2 linked regions of the Cricetulus griseus genome follow. The protein of the gene in region 2 purifies or fractionates together with the protein of the main gene of each other region. This does not show direct contact. Links are inferred from orthologs where the notes say so. Each region holds a gene or a part of one and is shown on either strand. Other genes may lie near its edges.

Region 1 (7,242 bases), on a different chromosome or scaffold from region 2:
AAGGACAGCCTGGATAGCACAACTGAGAATGTTGCCTCACAACAAATAGGGCCATTAAGATAAAGGCTCTATGGGTAAAGGCACTTGCTGTGCAAGCCCAATGACCTAAGATCCATCCCCAGAAAAGTGTCAGGAGAGAACCAACTCCCAAAAGCTGTTCTCCAACCTTTACACACATACCATAGCATATGCGTGTGCCCCCTGTAAAATAATAATACATGACTTCCATTTTCAATACTTCAGAGCGGTTGGCTATTTAAAGACAGTAAATGGGATTATTATCATCATCTTTTTTTTTTTTGGAGAAAGGGTCTCTGTATGCAGTTCTGGTTGGTCTAGAACTCAGTGACCTGTCTGCCTGTCTCTGCCTCCTGAGTGCTGGGGTTAAAGGCGTGCACCATAGTGCACTGTGGATGGGATCTCTTAGCACGAGACACTCATTTAATACTGCATTTTAAGATAAAATATAACTTCTACATCAACCCAGGGAAGGCTCCACGGGAGCTAAGTAGAATGGGTTACAACCACAGTGCTAAGGCTTCAGTCTCCCCGATACTCCCTGTCTCCCCTTTACACTCTATGCTACATGCAGAGTGGTTTCCTGGGAGCTAGGAAGACAGTAGAGGCGCAAGCCCATTACCCAGTGGCAGTTTGCTGGCAGCATCCGGTCCCTTTGTTTTCTTCTTCTTTTTCCCCACTCTAGTTGGGACAGGAGGCTCATATTTCTTTTTCTTGTCCTTGAGTTTTTAAAAGAATAGGAAAAAGAAGTCACATGGAAACCACAAAATGCACATTTATTTTTGTATTGATAGCATCTATTCTGGGTATACAAATGTCACCTTTTGGGATATTTAAGATAATTGTCCTCTTTATCAATACTTAAAAAAAAATATATAATTACATTATTTCCCCCTTCTCTTTTATCACTCTAATCCCCACAACCCCCACCTTACACTGATGGCCTCTTTTTGATTATTGTTACAAATTTTATTATTGATATAAACACAACCCGTGGACTCCGTAAAATAACCATCTTTAAAAAGCAGACTACATATCCCTGCACTCTGAGATTTAACTGCATCGTGCGTGAATGTCATCTCTTTAGAGAGATGGCAGGAACTTGGATTTTTTTCAGTGAGTAGAGAGAGGTCAGACTTGAGTTACTTGCCAAAAGTTTGAGTAAGGCTCGGCACGTCTCACACCTCGGTATGCTACACACTCAGACAATCTACTTTAAAACATCCACAATGTTCACACTTAAAAAATCATTATCTCAGGCCAATAAGCTTCTCAAAAAAACAGGAAAGAGGTGATCCACCTGCAATCCGGGTCACGGAAATAACTACTACATTACTTTGCTTTTGAAAGTTTGTGGCTCCACAAGGAACTCACTGAGACCTAATGGATGTTTCCACAGCGTGATCAGATCATGTAAATATCTTGCTTTTCATTTACCTTGTCATCCTTCTTGCCACCCCCAGGACCATGGCCACCACTCTGACTTTGACCCTGTCAAAAAAAAAAAAAAAAAGAAAAAGAAAAAGAACATGTCAGACATTAATTTAGAATACAATCATTGTTGACAAGCCTAAGAAACGTGGCCTGTGGAATCTGAATTCTGGTCCCATCACTCTAGACCAGTCAGGCTCCTCCACTGAGCTCTGATGTCTGTAAGAGGAAGATTTCAGCTCCTTCCCACCTATTGCTGGAAATGAAAACAGCAAATATACCCTTAGCATTTCTATGGATTAAGTTCTATCAGCAGACTACTGGGTCAGGATTGTAATTGTCTCTGTGGCTTCACTGTGTTGGTGCAAATCCAATCTGGTTGTATTCTTCACAATTCTGTCTCTATTCTCACCCCTCCTGCACCCATTCTCTTCCAGTCCATGCCTTCTTATTTGGCCCTCAGCCTCCCAGGAGAGAGCTATTATCCTCTAAAACAATGAACCGAACCGTCAATCCTTCCCAAACCCACCAGCGGTATTGTATAGCCCTTAGCTCAGCAAGCCTAGCTTTTGCCAACCTGGCTATACCGAGCCTTCCCAGGTTCATCTACCATCCTCAAGCCTTTCCAGTTTGGCTCCAGTGGAAGACATTTTCCTCATCTCTGGGACATCTTACATGTTTTTCGGTCTCAAAGAAGAGGAGCCACACCTTTTATAAAGCTCTTAAAATATGCTGAGCAGTGTGCGAAACATTCTTGGAATATTGTCTCTTTTGATTTTAAAAAGAGATTTCTTTTCTTAAAAGTGTGTGTGTGCAGCTAACTATCTCAGCAACGGAGGAGAGGCTACCTTAAATGCCCTCCCCTGATTATGAGATTGATGACTGACTTATATGCCTTCATACAGCAGCTGGTGAAGTAGAAGCAGATACCCATTAACTAATCACTGATCTGAACTGGAACTCAGATGCAGAGAAGGACCAGTGAAGAGCACAGAGGTCCAGACCAGGCTGGTGAAACACACAGAAACAGCTGACCTGAACATCCGGGAACTCTTGCTCCCCAGTCTGATAGCTGGAATACCAGCATGACACTAATCCAGACCCCAGGAACAAGGGTTTCTGTGAGGAAACCTCAGAAATCTATGGGACTTCCTGTAGAAGGCCAGTATTTATCCCTAGCATAGGTGTGGACTTTGGGAGCCCATTCCATATAGAGGAATACTCCCTGAGCCAAGACACATGGGGGTGGGCCTAGACCCTATCCCAAAGGATACGAAATACTGATGACACCCTATGGAAGGCCTCACCATCCAGGGGGAGCAGAAAAGATATGTGACAGATAAGGTTTTAGTTGGGGGGCTAGGGGAGGACGGGTGGGAGAAGGGAACTGGGATTGTCATGTAAAACAATCCTGTTTCTAATTCAAATAAAAAAAAGTGTGTGTGTGTGTGTGTGTGTGTGTGGTGTCCCAGGATACCAGAAGATGGCGTTAGATATCCTGGAGCTGGAACTACTACTGGCTGTTGTGAGCTTCCCGACAGGGTACTGGGGACAGAACTTGGGTCCCCTGAAGAGCAGCAAGAGCTCTTAACCCTGGAGCCATTTAATTCTCACCACCCCCAATTTACATATAAAGAGACCAAGGTCCAGAGAGGTTAAGTGGCTTTGCATATTGTCACAAAGCTTGTTGGATAGAAAGGCAGACTTCACACCACGGTCTTCTCTAAAGCAAACCCTGGGTGTTCGTTCCTTAACTGCTCTAGAAAAGACAGGACCTGTGTAACACCAATGGCCACTTCTTAATGCATTTCAGCTTCCTCACTCGAACGGGGATATTAATAATCATCTCCGGGGCTGTTGCAAGAAGTAAGGACAACTATGGGGAAATGTCCGGCCCATGTTCAGAAGAATACTTTCCAGGACCTTTGCGGGTTCCGGCCTTCACCCACACTCAGAGGCACGAGCTCACGGCTGTCTCCGGTCCTCGGCCGGCCCCTGCTCCCCTCTGACTGCTCCGCGGACACCCTAACACCTTGGTGGGTCTCAGCCGCACAAGGACGGCTGGCCCGGGCCTGCCGGGTCCTGCTCCCTGGCATGGTCACCGTCTCCGCGCCCAGCCCGGGCTCCGGCCCGACAGACCCAACCGGAGAGCGCCGGGGGCTCGCCGCCGCCCCCGCGTCCCGGGCTGCCCCGCGCGGCTCCAGCCCTTCTTCAGCCTCTCCTCGGCGGGCTCCCCGCAGGTCCGTCCCCGTGCTTCCGCTCGCCCGCGTCCCCGTGCTTCCGCTCGCCCGCCCAGGCGCCCGGGCCCGGGTCCCGGCCGCGTCGCCCCGACCTCCCGCCCTCCGTGCCCACGACCACCGGCCGAAACCCTTAGTCACTCACCATCTTTCCCCAGTCGTCCGAGCCTCCGCCGCCGGAAGTGCATCCACCGAAACGACCCCGTCAGGAGCGGAAGTGACTAAGAAAAAGCTACGGAAGCCCGTGAGGTCCAATTCGCTCCCAGGCGAGTTGCGCGCGGAGGGATCGTCCCAGTTGTTTAGTTAGTTACAGGGATCGTGGGCAGAGGGAATTCTAAATAGCTCCTGTCGGGCTCATCTTGGTTGCCAAAGAATCAGGGCCATTTTGAAAATTAAGAAAAAATTAAATTATGCAAAAATTTTAAGCAGAAATAAGTATTTGCGCTAAGAATTGGAATGGGTACTTGGGACTGGAAAGTTGCTGCATAGGCTGGGTGCACACCTTTAATCCCAGCACTCGGGAGGCAGAGGCAGGAGGATCTCTGTGAGTTCCAGGCCAGCCTGGTCTCTAGAGTAAGTTCCAGGACAGCCAGGACCGTTACACAGAGAAACCTTGTCTCAAAAAACAAAACAAAAGAAAACAACAACAAACAAAAAACAAAAAAGAAAAGAAAACAAAGAAAATTTGACGTATACACAGCATTTAAGTTCTTTAGTTTCTGGAATTTGACAACTCTCCTGAGAACGCTAAAGTTACCTAAATTTGTGAGTTGTCCCCCTCACCCCCATGACAAACGACTGAGGATGATGGCAAATATTGTGTTAAGATTGCCCTCGAGGGGCTGGAGAGATGTCTCAAACTTTTGAGACAAAGTGGTCTCTGAAATAAAGGGTCTCTACAGGGGCTGGAGAGATGGCTCAGAGGTTAAGAGCACCAACTGCTCTTCCAGAGGTCCTGAGTTCAATTCCCAGCAACCACATGGTGGCTCAAAACCATCCCTTATGAGATCTGGTGCCCTTGGCTGGTGTGCAGATGTACATGGAAGCAGAATGTTGTATATATAATAAATAAATTAAAAAATAAAGGGGCCAGGCGTTGGTGGCGCACACCTTTAATCCCAGCACTCGGGAGGCAGAGGCAGGCGGATCTCTGTGAGTTCGAGACCAGCCTGGTCTACAAGAGCTAGTTCCAGGACAGCCTCCAAAGCCACAGAGAAACCCTGTCTTGAAAAACCAAAAATAAAATAAAATAAATAAAGGGTCTCTACAGATTCCAGCCAAAAGTAAAAGAACATGTTCTAGAACAAACTCTCTAAGCCACCAACAGCATAAGTAGAAAGCATTTGGAAAACCGTCTACGGGTGGGGTTTGTTTTTTTTTTTTGGTGTGTGTGTGTGTGTGTGTGTGTGTGTGTGTGTGTGTGTGTGTGTGTGTGTGTGTGTATGTGTATGTGTTTGTTTTGGGGGGGGTGTTGGTTTCTCTGTGACTTTGGTGGCTGTCCTGGAACTAGCTCTTGTAGACCAGGCTGGTCTTGAACTCACAGAGATCAGCTTGCCTCTGCCTCCCGAGTGCTGGGATTAAAGGTGTGTGCCACCACTGTCCTGTGATCAGAGTGTTTTCTAATGAAAATTTACAGAGAAACACATTCCTCCCATAATATTTTTACTAATTATTTGGGAATTTCCTATAATGTACCCTGATCACATTCGATTCCCATTTCTCCCAGGTCCACCCCCCCAAACCCCACCTAGTCCAATTTGTGTTGTCCATCTACTCATTAAAGCATGGTCAAACTCCCAGTGGCCAGCCCTTAAAGAGCCCTGAGTCCTTCCCCACCCCCTCCCCCGTCAGCAGCCAGCAGTCAGCAGCTGTGAAAAGCTGCATTTAGCATCTTTAACACAGTTCCTAAGGACTGTCTCCAATAACTTCCTGTCTGGACTACAGAAACACTTTTTTGACACAGTACTTGCACTGGCTTCAGATCAGAAAGCAGGACCGTGGGGCTGGAAAGATGGCCCAGGGGTTAGGAATACCTGCTGTTCTTGGGAGTTCAGTTCCAACACTCACAATGGGGTGGCTCACAGCTTCCTGTAACTCCAATTCCAGGGGATCCCTCATCCTCTTCTGGCATTGAGGGCACCTGCAAGTATGTGGTAATTAAACACATGTACACATAAATAAAATAACTAGAAGTTTAAAAAAAGACAGTGAGGACACTGAAAGTGGACAGAGTCCAGGTGAGACTGAGGAGGGTCCTCCACTCTTGGGACCCTGGCCAGGTGTTAAGCATTATGGTTAATTAGTGTTATTAGCCTTAATAGCAACGAATGAAAAGTTCTTTAAGTTCTTAATGCGAGTATTCCTTAGGTTCTTTTTTTGCTAAATAAGGAGAGAATTTGGGGAGAGGAAATCTGACTCCCTGATTAGCAGCTACTAGACTCTGTGTTGGTGCCCTGGCTACTCTGAACCAAAGGGCTGTTAGTCAAACAGCCAGCATCTCTAGGTATTTTGAATACTCCGCAGACACCTTGAGAAAACAATACACAATCACAGCCAGTTGCCTTGGTTATTTCAAACACTTCGTACCGGACTTTTGGCTTTTACCTCAATGAGCTCTGGATGACCCTGCAACAACCTAGGCCAGAGGGGGCTCTTTATCCCCGATGGTCTAGCAGAGGGACTGTTATAAGATGGATGGATGTTGAAGAGGCAAGGTGATTGGTGCGAATACAAACCTTCACCAGCACACAGGATGTATTCTGATTATCTCAATCTCCTTCTCTGCCCACTTCTATGCTGCAAGCTTGCTCATTGAGTTGCACATTCCTCTGTGCCCCTCCCCCCCATATTGTAACATTAGGCTCAAGAAAAGTCTTCCCTCAAGTGGTTTTTTGTTGCCTGCTTTCGTGGTAAGGGAAGGAAGTTAAAGGTACTCTTAAGAGGCTGGAGACATGAACCGGTAACCCAAAGAAAGAAGCAGCAGAAACAGCAGAGCTGTGGTGATGGCAAAAGCAGTGAACCAACAGCCGCAGCAACAGCCTAGATTGTGTCTTTGACAGCTGAGCAATTGGTAGGTGGCAACTGAATAGTTTGTCAGCAGCCGGAGATGGGAGAAGAGTGATAGGAACAGAGAGCTGGCAAGAATGGAGAGCTGAGGTTGTAAAAGGCTGGCAGGCACAGCGAAGAGATGCTACAGGTACTGGCTGCTAGAGAATTCCAGAGAGCTGTCACTTGTTCAGGGCCAAGGGTCTCAGATACCCCAGGCTTTAAGAGTGGCTGGTGTAAGCACTGAGGAACCCTGGCTTCTGAGGTCTACCGTGGAGCTATACTGCCAGTGATGTTGTCAGCAGCTGAGGCGTCCCAGCATGGAGGCTCGCCTGGAAGTTGCCACACCAGCTGCAGCCAAAGGCATTCCTGATGTCCTAGGACACCAGAGCTGTGACTTGTAGAGCTAAGGGTCTCACTATCCAAGACCGTAGCAAGGCCAGAACACTAGAGGGCACTATCTGCCGCCACTGCCATCTATTTGCTGGGCTGCCCACTGCTCCTGTCCACT
Region 2 (7,148 bases):
AGTCCTGGCTGTCCTGGAAATCGCTATGCAGACCATGCTGGTTTCAAACTGCCTCTGCCTCCTGAGTGCTGGGATTAAAGGCGTGTACCACCACACCTGGATGCTCAAGTAATTTTTAAAAACAATTTTCACTTAGTGTTTATGTGTGTATACACATGAACATTCATGCCATGGCATGAATTATTGTGCATCACTGCCACTTGTGGAATTGAATTCTTTCCTCTACCATGTGGATTTCAGGGTTTGAACTCAGGTATCTAAGGTTGATAGCAAGTGCCTTTACTTCAACCTGCTATCTAATTGAGACCTTCCAAACTTCTATGCATTCCTGGCTATTTGTATAATTAGTAGAATTAGGGCTGAATGAGTCATAAATTTAAGGGGACTTCATAAACCATCATAGTCGAAACCTCTATGTGATTATTAAAAAAATGTGCATGATCAGGACATTCAATACTGGGTGCTGGTGATTTATGTCTTTTTTGTTGATTTTATTCTAGCTCTGAAGGAATAGCAGATAAATATTAGTGGATATTCTCATAACCACACAATCACTGGATTGCTCTAAAACTGTTAACACTTTTACAGGCCTGATTTCCTCTTAAAAGGATTTACTGAAGATAGGTACAGGAATTATTTTTTACTGTTTCACAAGAACTACTGGGTAGTTCTGGGTAAGTAGTAGACACTAAGTTTGTTCAAAGCATGAAATTAATTTGCTTATACAGTTAATTGTTCTTTTACATTTGAAATGAGAAAGTATTAGAAACCATTGAGTCTCATTTAGACTAAAGTAGCCTAAAGAATTTATTGCACGCCTAGATACTAAGTTACTTTCCAAAAAAAAAAGCAAGTGTCTCAAGTGTCTCAAAGCAATATAAGCCTGCTATGGAAAAAAAATACCTTTTATAAAAAGTATGTGAATATATTGTCAGGAATCATTCATGGTGACAATTTTTACCATAAACATTGCTTTCTCCAGCCCACTTTGAAATAATCTCTAGTCATAGTGAGGTCTGCCATGAAATTCCAGATTTTCTGGTCTCAGCATCCTATGTGCTGGGATTGCAGGCAAGTACCTTCATGTCTAGCAGTAATACATGTCTCTAAATTTTAAAAACTTTATAATCCAAAATATGTGAGTTAAGACATCAGTGGCATATATACGAATACATGCTTAACATTAACTAAAAGAATAATTTCTTCAGATTCCCAGGAGAAATCAGGATTCTCCATACAGAGCTAGATTGTCATTTTGACATCTCCTAACTTAAACTTTTAAGCTGTTTAGAACTCTAGGGTTTTGGTCACATTTTGATAATTAACACTATTGTAAAATTAGTTTTCTTTTTCAGACACCTTCTAGTGATTCGAGAATAGCAGAAAGTATCTTCACATATTGCAATAGTAATGTGCTTTATAAAAGTCTAATGATCTTAATTTTTGGTTGTACATTTTAATAGTTTGCAAAGAGAAATCCTTAAAAGGTTACATTTTTTTACTGGTTCTTTCCATAAAATACAGCGGTAGTTTCCAAATGAAGATCTGTAATGGGAAGGAGAGATGAAAAAAAAAAAATGACTAGATACTTTTAAAGTATCTTAAAATTTTACATTACAATAATGCCATTTATTATTATTTATCCTGGAATGGTTTACATTCTTCCCCGTCTTGTTTTTTTTTTTTTTTTTTTTTTTTAACAAATAGCTGTTTATATTGGGGAGAATATATACATACACACACATACGTATACACACACACACAATTTGTGTAAAGTCATAGTAACGAAAAAGGTACATTGCTACGTGTGATTGTTACATTTTGAGTACTAGATAGTTACTGTTTATCCACAATGTTACAAGCCAGAAAATGACTTGTCAGCCAGCCTTTATCATTTAGTGGCAATTGTCAAAGCCATTAACTAAAATAACAAATCTCGTTAAGTAAAAATGCCACGCGGGCACCATCAAGACGCATGGCTTTTAACAGGGTTCAGCTGAAATATATATATATATATATATATATATATATATATATATATATATATATATATGTTATACATACACACACACACACACACACACACACACACACACACACACACACATATATATATATATATATATTTATATGATTCAGCCTGCCGGTTACTTCCCTCCGTTGACAACACTGCAGGACCTGGGCCTTTACCTTCTAGTATGGGAAAACAGTGACAGATCCTGTGCTGGCAGAGGCCTGAGCTGATACCTTGTCTGCTACGCTCAGCAATCCCTGCAACGTTTACCAAGGCAGCTGGGGTGAAAAGGCGTGTGTGTGTGTGTGTGTGTGTGTGTGTGTGTGAGAGAGAGAGAGAGAGAGATATCGTAGGGGGGTCAGTGTGTGTGTGTGATATTGTAGGGTGTGTGTGTGTGTGTGTGAGAGAGAGAGAGAGATATTGTAGGGGGGTCAGCCCTAGCAACTGAACATTTCTGCTCCTCCTTGTGTGTGTGTGTGTCCATGTGTGTGATTATAGGGGGGGTCAGCACTAGCAACTGAACATTTCTGTTCTTCCTTCTCGTGCCTCGGGCTGGGGACACCACCTCGGCCGACTTTCGGGACCGATCAGTCTGCCTAACTGACCCGGAGCCTGTCCTCGGCTGGCTAGCTCGGGCCGCTCTCCCGAGGACACGGAAGCACACCGGACGGGTAAAAGGAGCAGGGCCTGAAAGCACCAAATCTCTCCCAGCCCCGTCTCAAGATGGCGACAGCGCCTGGAAGGCTTCCATTGAGCCCAAGGCCATCTCCTCTTCCCACCGCTCCCCGCGCCGCAGCGAAGGCGAGCTAGAGGAAGGGCCTCGCGGAGCTGCGAGCGGGGCGGGGCAGAGCCCGTCGCCCTCCCACGCACGCGCGACCTCGCCTCACATCCCGCCTCTCCCTCTCGGAGCCCTCGCCCTGCAAGGGCGGCGCGCGCTGCCTGTCGGGATACTCGGACCGCCCACCCACCCAGTCATCCCGTCCTGCGTTGCGTTCGCGAGACCCGTGTTTCTCCCAAGATGGTGGCGCTCCTCTCTGGGTGGCTCTAAGAGACGACGGGGCCTTTCGTCTTCGCCAGCACCTCGCTGCCCCCTCCTGCGCTCGTTCGCGCACCCGGCCGCGCAGCCGTCCACCGCCTCCTCACGCCTCTCCTCTGTCTACCTGTCGCGGACGGTGGCGCCTCCTTCTGCTGCTTCTCGGAGTTGCTCGCCTCTCTCGCTCGCCTCTCTCGCTCGCTCGCTCGCACTCCAGTGTGGACAGACCGCGGCAGCAGCCGACCAGCGCTGCCGACTCCGACGTTGCCCAGGCGCCTGGCCTCCCGGCCTCGGTTTCCTGAAGAGAAGCGCGGGTCCCGCATGAGCTCCGGCGGTGGCGCCAGCGAAAGGGAACGAGGCGGTGGCGGGCGGCGGCGGCGGACGAGGGCGACTAGAACCAGTGAGGCAGCCGCAGCCTAGGCGCGGGGGCGAGAACAGGTCAGTGCTGCTGCGACCGCGGCCTGCCCGGCGCGCTCTCTCTGGTCTCTACCGCGTCCGCCTTATCCCCCTCCGGGCCGCGCAGGCAGGGTAGGCGCCCGGGCCCTTCACCCGCCTCTGTGAGCGACTGCTTGGGGCGCGTGGTCTGGAGGGGCCGGTGCCAGGAGTAGGCCCTGGTGGCTGCGGCTGCTGCAGCCTTAACTGTCAGTGCTGGCTGGGCGCAGGAGGGAGGGTTTTGTCGCCCGCGGGTACCCAAGTGGGCCCGGGGTGGGGCGGACGTGGAGGGCCTGGAGATCGGGGCCTCATCGAAACAGGGATCGGACAGCCAGCCGTGGCTTCAGGCTGCGGAGGGCAGGCCTTTTCCTCCAAAGGGACGCTCTGGGTGGGAAGACATATTTAGACGTGTGCTTAGTGGGTTGGGGTATTGGGGGTGGATTGGAGAGGAAAGACGGATGAAGCGGCACATCAAGCCTAAGGATTGCGCTCTCGGTTTCTCCGTGTGCTGCTTCCGATAGAATTCGGTAGTTGAACGTGAGTTAGTAGATTCCTCAGAAACTGCTATGTTACATTTAAATGCAAACCTGTAAGCAGTTGGCCTCCTCCTCCTCCCCCTCCCTCTTTTCAGTTGAGAAAATGAAAAGGACGTTTTCCCCATCTTGATGCGGAGGCTTTTTGTTGAAAGAGTCAGAATTGAATGTGCTACATGCTTTACCTCTAAAGAGAGAAAATATAATTTTAAAACGACTTTTCAGACTGTAATTCTTTTCGAGGAATTTTTTTTTTTTGGTCATTTTTTAAAATGACTTTTTATGAGCATGCTAAAGCAGAACAGTAAAAAAAAAAATCTCTTTGGGATTGTATTAAGTAGCTAGTGTGCTGTTCCAAACGTAAACTAAATAGTATATGGGATTTGTGATCCATGATTGTCTTCAATCGTGAAGGACTGTGGGTATAACCCATGATTTTGGGAGAAACAGATTATGCCAGAATGTTTTGGAGAGGAAAGTGCGTTTGAAATAAAGATGACCTAAGTTTAAGAAATACAGCTGCTAAAAAGCTACATACCAAAGACATGCCACTACCAAATAAATCTTGTTGAATAAATGGGAAAAGTGACATGAGAAGTGTTTTCCTCACACCTTGGATTAGTGGTTACTCTTAAGATGTCTTTGGAAAATCATGCAAATTTAGAATTAGAAGAGATAGAAATTTTTGTCTTGGCATGTGTGACAGAAATTGCTGTGGTATTTGATTTTCCATTTAAATCAAGTATGCTTACTGCATTTTTAAGGAAATGAATTACCACATCTATGTTGCTGATAAGCCTTAAGGATGACTGTAAATCCTTAAATGCTTAGCATTACAAAAAAAAAAAAAAAGCCTAAGCATCAACATATGTAACAAAAGAGAGAGCTTCCACAAATAATTTGTAGTCTATATTTTTTTAATAAGAGATACTGTACATAATAAAAAGATGACTTGTAGCTTTGGTTTCAAAATCAGAATGTAAGCTGTGAAAGACTTGTGTCAATATTTAACTTGCATTGGTGTGTGGAGTAGCGTATACACACATACTCCTTTGGACATTGCCCCCATACCTGAGGAGTTCATGAGGTTAGAATATCCTTTTTGCATGCAAATTTTGTAGGCATCTTTTGTTTTTATCCCTGAAATCCACCACCCCCCTCCCTACCTCTTTTAATTTTTATTTCATTATATTTTTTTAGAAAGGGTCTTCTAATATAGCTTCTGGATGACCTGGAACTCTCCTGGCTCTGTCTGCAGGGTGCTGGGATTAAAAAGTGTACCCCAACAGCACTGGCTACTGTCTCATTTTATGGCTTTAAATGTAATTTCTACCTGAGACTAACCCTCTTCCCACTTGATTAGTCCTTTTAACAGCATTCATTGGATATCTATAATGTCTCTGACATGTAACATTAAAGTCAATTGTATTTTTAAAACATTTATGTCAATCTCTATCTTCTGTCAAGTAATTGCTGTAATTTGTTTCTCTCAATTTTTATGATTATCCTGTAAATTGGCCATAGCTAATTTTTTTCTGCTCAAGAGCTTAGAATAATTTTTTGCAAATGTCATTAAAAAAAAACTTAAACGGTTAGTGGTGTATTCTTACTATTTATTCTATTTAGGTTTATGTTTGTTATTAATGATAACATTACTGGTAAATGAATCTATATATTAAGTGCATATGCAGCTATTAAAAACATCAGTGATAAGATTTTTGAAAGTAGAAATGAGTTTGCAAAAGTGGTCTTTTAAGTACTTTCAAGCACAAAAAGCACATGACAGGGGGTCCATATAAAATAGTCTTTAAAAAGTCTTTGATATTCTCTTCGTTAGGGTTTAGGATAATAGGGTTTTGGATGGTTTTGACAGTATCCTCACTGATAAATATAAAGACAATGTTAAGCCAGGCACGGGGTCTCACATCTGTAAAACCAAGAATTGAAAGGTCAGGCAGGATTGTGGCAAGGTCAGGGTTAGCCAAGACTAAAAGGTGAGGTGAGAGAATGTCTCAAAAAAAAAGTAATGATTAGAGATGTGCTAAAATATTAGTGGAAATAGCTTTGCAGTTTATTTATTCAATTTCTCTTTTTTAAAAAATTTACTTTTCTAGATAGTGTTTCTGTATCCCTGGTTATCCTGGAACTAGCTGTGTTGACCAGGCTGGGCTTAAACTCACAGAGATTCCCTTGTCTCTGCCTCTAGGATAAAGCCCTGTGCCACCACCACCCAGCTTTGTAATTAGAGCTGGATTTAATTTTTCCTGAGCCATGGTTTTATCTATAAACAGGATGGTAAAGATATCCCAGATGTGAGGATTAAAGACTGTACAGTGCCTCATAGGTTTTCAACTTTACCTTAGCAGACTGCATACCCAGTTTTTCTGAATGATCTTTAAGCACTTTGTATATAGTGGTCTATAGCCCATAAATAATTCTATTGTTTGTTTTCTGTCTCATTGTGAGCTCAGTCTTTAAGTGCAAGAACTTCTATTGTTTAATTAGAGAATATCTTTCCAGGTGCCTTTAGACTGTTATATTATCAAACACTGGGTAGTTTACATAAATTAAAAAATACCCCCATCCCCCCACACACCTTAAGTATAAGTGTATATCATAGTTACGGACATTGAGAAGTACCAAGATCAAAGCTAATTTTCATTGAAAACTTGAGTAGTGTTAGGATTTGTTTAGTTGGACTAGGGATTGAACCCAGGGCCTCTCACGTGCTAGCCAACTACTTTACGACTTCCTTGTCACTTTTGTATTTTTCACACAGGTGTCATTAGGTTGGCCAGGTTGGCCTTAGACTTACTCTAGCCTAGGCAGACCTTGAGCTTGGGACTCCTCCTGTCTCATCTTCCATAGTTATTAGATTGCAGGCCTATATCACCATGTTTGTGTTGAAGTATGTCTTTGTGTTTCTGTATGTCTATTATTTTTCTCTTTGAGATTTTATTTTATGAGAATTTTGCCTGCATGTATGACTGCACCACCACATGTGTGTGGTGCCTGTGGAGGTCAGAAGAGGGTGACTAGGAATAGTTGCCATGGAGGCTCTGGGAATTGAACCTAGGTCCTTTGGAAGAGGAGCAAGTGCTCTTAATAGCTGTGCCATCTGTTTAGCCTCCTTTCC

What was found. Proteins that work in one complex are often made in the same cells at the same time.
Region 1: the proteins of Ube3a (region 2) and Psmc1 purify together in Homo sapiens (affinity purification with mass spectrometry; 5 studies listed by BioGRID and IntAct, with this or other methods). This does not show direct contact. The link is inferred for Cricetulus griseus from reciprocal best matches to the Homo sapiens genes UBE3A and PSMC1.

The regions. Positions count from the first base shown.
Region 1 is NC_048598.1:105,595,012-105,602,253, forward strand, and holds the start of Psmc1 (26S proteasome regulatory subunit 4), read right to left. Parts: upstream 3,929-7,242; 5' UTR 3,835-3,928; coding exon 3,832-3,834; intron 1,510-3,831; coding exon 1,456-1,509; intron 738-1,455; coding exon 641-737; intron 1-640.
Region 2 is NC_048596.1:138,736,313-138,743,460, reverse strand, and holds the start of Ube3a (ubiquitin-protein ligase E3A), read left to right. Parts: upstream 1-3,345; 5' UTR 3,346-3,485; intron 3,486-7,148. UniProt on the Homo sapiens protein: E3 ubiquitin-protein ligase which accepts ubiquitin from an E2 ubiquitin-conjugating enzyme in the form of a thioester and transfers it to its substrates.